Linked DNA regions of Caenorhabditis elegans. The protein of the gene in region 1 interacts with the protein of each later gene in a biochemical or structural test. Each region holds a gene or a part of one and is shown in the gene's direction. Other genes may lie near its edges.

The links.
Region 2: of the proteins of flp-10 (region 1) and egl-6, one has a biochemical effect on the other in vitro, tested with the Caenorhabditis elegans proteins (2 studies listed by BioGRID, with this or other methods).

The regions. Positions count from the first base shown.
Region 1 is NC_003282.8:7,866,985-7,870,885, forward strand, and holds flp-10 (FMRF-Like Peptide), read left to right. Parts: upstream 1-1,922; 5' UTR 1,923-1,945; coding exon 1,946-2,018; intron 2,019-2,512; coding exon 2,513-2,643; 3' UTR 2,644-3,097; downstream 3,098-3,901. Other genes in the region: T06C10.3 (Tyrosine-protein kinase), read left to right, coding at 3,881-3,901.
Region 2 is NC_003284.9:5,930,778-5,935,200, forward strand, and holds egl-6 (G-protein coupled receptors family 1 profile domain-containing protein), read left to right. Parts: upstream 1-1,808; 5' UTR 1,809-1,990; coding exon 1,991-2,169; intron 2,170-2,221; coding exon 2,222-2,335; intron 2,336-2,382; coding exon 2,383-2,459; intron 2,460-2,510; coding exon 2,511-2,677; intron 2,678-2,728; coding exon 2,729-3,064; intron 3,065-3,166; coding exon 3,167-3,389; intron 3,390-3,498; coding exon 3,499-3,590; 3' UTR 3,591-3,755; downstream 3,756-4,423.

The DNA.
Region 1 (3,901 bases):
GGCGGAAAAGCATGACAACAACGTTCGAATCGAAAAAACAACTTGAACCGTTGAGAAATGTTCAATTAGTGTTGAGTTCAAGAGCTCGGAGATCGAATTATTCCTATGATTATTTAGTTTCTCCTCTACTGTAGGTTTCAGAGCTGTGCTAAATTTATATGCATATAGAGAAAAATTATTTTTCTTCGTTGGAGAAGAAGGATCTTTTTGTATTGCATAGGATAAATAATCGGAAAAATATGCTAATCATAAGACAAAAACTTTTGGAAAAAAACTAGTGTTGCTTCGCGATTCGGCACCTGGGTGAACATCTCCAAAACGTGGGAAATTTTTTGAAAATTACTCGGCTAATGACTAGTGTTTTATCTCGTCTACTCATCATATACAACTTCTTACAAGTGTCTACTTCTCGAATTAAATTCCGATTTTCCCCGATTCGAAGAGCCGCACAGCTCTGATAAGAATCACGAAATTGAACTCGGAAAATCTCGAGATCAGTTCCGCCATATTCGTTTTGTTTCCTACATTCATTTGTTCTCATTTCAAATGTTTATTTTAGTCTTTCTCGTATTTTTCTTTGCTTATTCTGCGTTCCATCATAATATCTATTTTTCTTTCCATCTTTGATACGGAAATAACACATTAGGCTTGTGTTTGATGTGACCCAGTTATCACATCTCTCCCACCCTTGCCACGTCATCATTCATCCACAGAGCATTCGGGTCGAAGGGGGTGGAGCTTGTAAACGAGCAGGGGAGGATGCTCCGCCCGTCGTGTTCTTCTGCAAAGAATTGAAGTCGAATTTTTTATTTTTCATTCCATTTTTATGAGATGGTAGTTGTTGGTACGTACACCAGTTTTATGATCTTGGCCACTCAATTCGGGGTTTTCAAGTTGTTTTAGTGTTAGAGACCTCTGGAATTCAAGAGTACGTCTTGATTTATTTTACATGTAAAGTGGTGTCAATTGTAATTCCTCCAGGACCACTGTCATGACTTCAAGCTAGCTTGCAATTAGAGGTCAAAAGTATATGATACCGTTTGACAACAGGTGCCAATGAATCCACAAATCAAATACACGCGCGAGCCCCATCCTCAAACGAGACGTGATCACATTTAAGCCCGGATTTGCGGCAATCGAACATTTTTGATAATTGCCGAAATTGCCGAGTGCCGGACTGTTTCGGCAATTTTCAAACCTAACTAAAGTTAGAAAATTTTAAAAAAATCAGCCTTGTTCTTTAATAATAGATTAGTCTTCGTTTGAAATAATATTTTGACGCAAAAATTATCAGACTTATATTTTCGGCAATTCAGATTTCCGGAAATTCGCCAAATCGCCGAAATTGCCAAAAATTCGATTGTCGAATGGAAATAGTCGCGCACCTATGATCCAAGCCCTCAAAACCTGTGCATTACCTAAAAATTCCAGTATCCAAATTATTCATCTTTCAAACGAAATCTGAGATTTATATTCAAAATGGATAACCTCCTCTTCAGATCTCACTTTTACTCTCACCTTTCTCTTTTTCCACTTTTCTTATCCAATTAACGTTTATGACCGATAATAAAGGTCAGTTTGTTTTTGAAATGAGTAGAGAGAAGTGTTCAATTATTCCTTTTCCTTGTTAGACATTACCAGAACAATTCAATTTGCCACGTCATCAAAAGTACGTGATCAAAAAAGACCCGAAGATGATGTGATGAAGAAGGAGTGAAAGATGAAAGAAGACCACCAAGAAGCACGCTGAATTTTTGATATTATTAACATTTCTTCAGAGACTAGAGTACCTACTTTCGTTTCAACATTTTCTCATTTTCTTTCCTCTTTCCTCATTCTCATGACCTTACCATGAATTCACCCATCTCACTAATTATACGCCTAAATCTTTTCTTATTCTCGAATCATGGACACTTTTCTAGGCAATCAACTCATACAGCAAAGGATGCAACTCTCCATCGTTTTCGTCTTTTTTGTTCTCTGCTTGGCCGCTGTTTTTGCTGTTCCTATCAGCGATGGTAAGCTTTTTAACTGTATTTCTAGTATACACTCAGTTTTCGGTAAATGAGTCAAAGTAAAATCATGTAAGAATCTGAAATATTGAAAGTTGCGTTTTTTAACCATGAGAAAAATTTACTGGTTTTTTTGGGCATATGAGAATTTTCACTACGAAATTCGTTCACTTGAAAACATTTTGAGTATGCCTTCATAATATCGTTAGTTCTCCTTTACTAAATAACTTCCAATTTCATCAGATTTTTTTCGAAAAATTTTTAACAAGCTGGCTTAGTCATTATAAAAAACCGAGCTATTTTGGGTAAAATACACAGATTTGTTTGTTACAAGTTTTGCAACTGGCAAACAACTGATTTTGTTGTTTTTAGGCGATCTCACAGAATAATATTCTGTAGTTTGAGTTTTCCCAGCGTCAAAGAGAAACAAAATAAAACCGAAAACTGTCAATCAAAGTGGATTGATCAGAGTAAAAACTATCTTAATAATCCATTTCCAGCTTCCCGTGCTCGTCGTCAAGTCGCATCGGAGAAGCGTCAACCAAAGGCACGCTCTGGATACATTCGATTCGGAAAACGAAGAGTCGATCCAAATGCAGAACTTTTGTATCTCGACCAACTTCTCATTTGAATCCGGCATTCCGACATCTCTTTCATCATCTTCTTCATCATCTTCAACAAAATCCACGTCATCATGCGCCCTTTCTTTCTCTGCGTCTCGTCTAGTCTCTCATTCTCATGTTACAGTAATCCAACAATTATTGAACACTGAACAATTAATTCCTTCTTCTCAACCATCCCCACCAGTCGTCAAGTTTTCGTTTCATCAAATTTCTTGACCTGAAAAATATTCGTTTCATATTTCTAATAACGAAGATTTGATCTCGAAGCGCTTTTAACTAAAATGTCACCAAATAAATTATATTCATTTAATTTTACAATTGCTTCTCTTTTTCGTCTTTTATTTCTCTTGAATTCTTCTCCACCCATCGACCCCCGAACACATCCCAATGCTTTTTTGTTTGATTGTCGCATTCCAGTATTTTCAGTTTCAAAATACACAGCGAATAAAACGATTTGTTGTATTTTTATATTTAATATCATAAAAATTATTATGCTCAAGACTTTGAGTTCTCTATTTCAATAGAACATTTCCGAGTTCGTGAATCAGGGTATTGTGAATATGGATGAAAGAATCTGCTTCTATTATGACTTTGTGTTTATTTCTTCCCAGTTATTACATTATTACGTTATTATTAATCACTAAAATCTACTAATTGACGTTTACAACTTTAGTAGAGATCTGTTAAACATTAAAGCTCCAAGAAAACTACTCAATCAGTACAAGAACGAACTAGTCATAATTTTGGCGACCGCCGAAATTACCAACTGAATTTAATTTAAGACTTTTTTATTAAACTGCATATGAAACCCCAAACTTCGTCCTTTATATAATCAAATAAGAGAGACAAATTTTAAGATTTTTTTGTGTAGATTTGTGATTACTACAGTAATTCTTCAGGGGGTTGTGTGTACTCTAAATAAAAAAGGAGGTGGCAGTCCTGACGATTAAAGTAACATTTTTTATAAGGACATTTTGAGCCAAGTGATAAAAAACATCAGCATTTGGTTTTAAAAATCCAAAAACAAAAAAAAACGTGAACCCGAAATGAGAACGCAAAAAAACAACTTGGAAAAAACAAACATCGAAAATCTATAAAATCAATCGATTTTTGATTATTTCGAATTGTTCTCACAACTTCTTTTCCAATTAAATTTGGAAAATTATTTCTATCACAAAAGGTACGCAAGTTTCAAATTTTCAGGCTTCTTAATTCATTTGATTTTCAGAAGGAAAACATTGCAAAATGGGATCAAACGAGCTGTTT
Region 2 (4,423 bases), on another chromosome or scaffold:
GCGTTCGTGTCTTTTTCAATTTTCTTTTTTTCTTTCTGCAACAATAAATTTGTCAGAATGTACTGCGAAAACCTTATATGACGGTAGACCGTGCCAGGGGAATATAAGTTCCCGAGACTAGACATTAATCATTTCTACGTACTGTTCTTGAATTTTGAACTCATTTAAGGTATGGAACTTTCTATACTCCAGAAATCTTTATATAATGCTCATGATTTAATAATTTATATAACGTCAAAAGGTTTTTCCTGATCTTTTTTCTGTTGCCTTCACCTCCGTTTCCTCACGTTTTCTTGTTCTTCTCCCTGCATAACTTTGAAAACAACACAGGTCTTTTGTTGCAGATGGAGAACATCATAGAACACAATGACAGCTTTTCAGCAATGAATGACACACTGATCTGTACATACTTCGAATGCTATATCCACATGTTTGCCATGGTGAGTTCAAAGCATTAAAATCTCGGGAGGTGGTTTTGATGACGCGTTGGAAATTTGGAAAAATTGCAAATTTGTGATAGAAGCCATAGGATCATTGTTTCAATTTTGATATTTGCCAAAGAACAGTTTAGGAAAAATTAATTGTTATCACTAATCGGAGAGCAAAATGTCTCAAGATATGAGATTAGATGTGTTGAAGCAACATTCTATTTTGAATATTCAAGAACATTGAACGTTTTTAAAGCACTTATAAACACTATTAATAGTAAAGTAACATCAGTGAAGAGGGGGGGGGGTTTGAATTTACAATCATGATAGTCTGACATGAACAAATATCATTGTGAAACACTCCAAACATTCTTAGATTTTTCAAAATATTCAGTAAAAGTTGTGGTGAATTACCAAGTTATCAAAAAGCATGGACGTTTTTTTTAAGCAACCTCAAAAGTTTGAACCCTTGAAATTTCAAATTGTATAATAGGACAAAAGTCACTGTCTAGACAAATTTACATCGAAAATATAATTTTCACTTGGTTTAAACACTTATGTGAAACTATCAAAGTTGGAGTATCATCAGTGGGAATATTATTTAATCACATTCATAATAGTCAAATATAATCGTGCAACACTTCAAAAATGCTCCGATTTTTCAAAAAATTTCAATCAAAGTTTTGGTAAATTGTCAAGTTTTCTAAAAGTTTGGACTGTTTGAGAAATTTCAAGCAACTCCGAATGTAAATTTTGGAAAATTTTGTCAAATTGGACTCGAAAAGTTTGCTATTATGATTTATTGTAGGGTACTCATGGGTTTTGTTACCCTCAAAATGTTTTAATTTTCTAAGTTACAATTAACCACAAAAACGTGAACTTTTTTGGAACGATTTGGAGAAACGAATGCTTTGTTCCGTACTTTTGTTTTTGTTTTTAATTTGAAAGGTGGAAAATTTAATTTTAGAAAATTAAAACATTTTGGGGGAACAAAACCTATCAGGACCTAATGTAGCGGCATATGAACAGTTTCAAACATTTTCCCCATTTTCGGAGTAGTGTCCCATTCCTCAAATGACCTAAATAATTCTGCAATTCTGCACGTGTACTTTGGGTGTTAGTTGCGTACGAGACTCTATTGGGAGCCGATCGTAAACCCGTTTTACGGCCTCACACTGCGAGTTAGTCTTTCAGAGACTCATCTATGTGTTTCTGACTGGGCACCAGTGAATCAGTATGGTGTCATTTGGGGGGACACGCGATGCACACAACTTGAAAAATAATTAGCTGATAGACAGGGGCACGCGCTACACAGTGGGCGGAACTTCCAACACTGATTTCACTAGATTTCCCCTTTCCCTCCCACTCCGTTTTGACTGGAACGAATATTTATTTTGTCGTCCAATTTTTCCTGCTATCTCGTTGTTAGAGATTGTCGCTGGGATAATCCGGTTGTGAATGGACGTTTGAAGCTTTTCCAGCATTTTGAACCGGAATCTTTTTTGCTTTCCCATATTTGCTTCCCTATTCGGGCTCGTTCCGAAACGTGAAAGAGTGAAAAAATGGGGAAATGGACGGAACTCGGATTGTCGGGTCGTGAAAATGCAACAAATGTCTCGTCGCGAGCCATAACTGACAAGTCCTTTTTGCAGTACTACGATGAAATTCATATTCCTCTTTCAATTTCTATCTGTATATTCGGAGCCGCTTCAAACGTCTTCAATATTATTGTGCTCACAAGGTAAGTTATATATTTCTTTATTTTTTACGGATGAATGTACCTGTTATTCCAGAAAACGGATGCGAACCCCAATAAACATCCTGCTCACAGGTCTCTCCATTGCACAATGGCTCCTAGCGACCAATTACTTCCTTTACTTATTGCTTGAGTATTATAGATATCAATGGTACGTCATGCATCAAATAAAAAAAACAATGTTCCAGTTTTTTGCAGTGTTCAATTATTATGGTCCGAAGCATTTACAAGATATAGATTCTTCAATGTCAACCTGAATACAGTATTTCATACAAGTAAGTATTTTTAGATTGGCAAGCATATTACTGTACTCAAATACTTTTCAGTTGCATTCACAACGACGATCGTTGTCGCAGTGTTTCGGTATTGTGCACTGAAGTTTCCAATTCAAGCGAATAGATTCATCTATAAATGCCAGCCAGCAATCGCAGCAAACGTTATCATTTGGATCATCATTCCTATCATCAGTCTTCCATTGTTTTTCATATCCGAGGTTTGTGTAGTTAATCTTCATATCTCGAATCTGATTTCATCTATGTTTCAGGTTAAAATTGTCGCTCGTGACCACGTTGCTTATGATTTGCAATGCGAAATGGAAGGTCCATTGTACGACCTCAGTTATCAAGAGAGTCCACTTCTCGTGTCCGCAGTTTTCTGGGCATTTGGTATTGTGTTCAAACTACTTCCGTCGTTAATTCTCTCAATACTACTCATTGCTCTTATAAGATCTTTGAAAAGCGTAGAACGAAGGCGTAAAAACTGGAAGCGTACACAAGGTGCCAACATTTGCACCAACTCCGAGAGAAAAGCAAAAAGAAAGTTGACGACCAGACCGCGCACAACACGAATGCTCGTCATCATTCTACTCCTATGTGTAATGGTTAGTCACTATTTAATGTCTGATCGTATGTGATTGCTGTATTGTTACGATTATTTATATTATTTTGTCTATGATTACCATGAAACGTATGTCTGATTCCAGGTAGAACTACCCATGGGTATTCTTAACTTGTGCGTGGCTATCTACGGTGAAGAGTTCGGAAATCGGTATTACGATCCAGTGGGAAATCTGATGGAAATGCTGACGCTGTTGTACAGCTCTGTTAGCTTCGTTCTCTATTGCACCATGTCCAATGAGTATCTCTCCACGTTCCGAGCACTATTCTTCCCATGGACCAGAAAGAATAGTTTAAGAGGAACTCGAAGTGAGTACTTTCAAACAAAATTGTAGGATGAATCATCTACTTGAGATAACTACATTTTACTCACAATTTTTTCTGACTAAAAAGTTCAATTCAAAATACAATTTTTCAGGAAGTTGGAATCATCGACATGACGACGAAACAAAGTCCCCACGAACTTTTCTGATAAATAGAACTGCGCCAAGCTCATATGTCGGGTCTTAATCTCCTTTGCGTAGTTATTCAATTCAACTATAATTCTTGATTTTTGTATTTATCCCGTTGTGAACTTCAATTCGTCTGAAAAATTTGAAAGTCACAAGTTTGAAAATGTGATTCTTGTTTATCTTGAAATCTTCCGAGAATGAATAAAACTTGTATTGTTTTACTAATATAGTGTGTTTTCTCTATTTGAACAGCTTTTAAAAGTTGGAAAACTGAAGTTTCAAAGTTAAAAATCAAAGTTATGAAAAAATAAGTGTTCAATGATTTTGTCTAATTGACTTTTTTTAAAGCAATTTTCTTTAGAATTTAAAAGTTTTCTAAAACCTTAAATATAATTTTTCAGCATACTTGTTAATTTTTTTAAATTCTAAATAGAAAAAATAGCATATTTATCTGCTACACTAACAAATTGAATCGCTTCTTAATCTATCAAAACAATAAAAATTGCAGTATTTTGAAGCGTTTGGTTTTTTTTTGTTGCAAAAAGTCTCAAGTGTTCATATCTTGACAGACAGTCTTAGCGGAATTTTTAAACGGAAAGAATAATATTTTCTGAACACCTTCAAAAGTATTCTCCTGTCAGTGAAGTTAATACGTAGACGTATAGCGATAAGAAGTTTTTGGGGTCACTTACGTAGACAATGAGTTACTACATCCCGGAATGCTTTTTTATGGGGTTATTCAAGTAGTGTCGAAAAATTAAAAAGGATAGAGAAATGACGTGACAACTGTATTAAAATTTTTCTCTGCTTCTAAACTTTCCGACACTACTTGAATAACCCAATTAATTGAAAAAATAATGGTAAATATTTTTCAGCCACTGAATTGATACG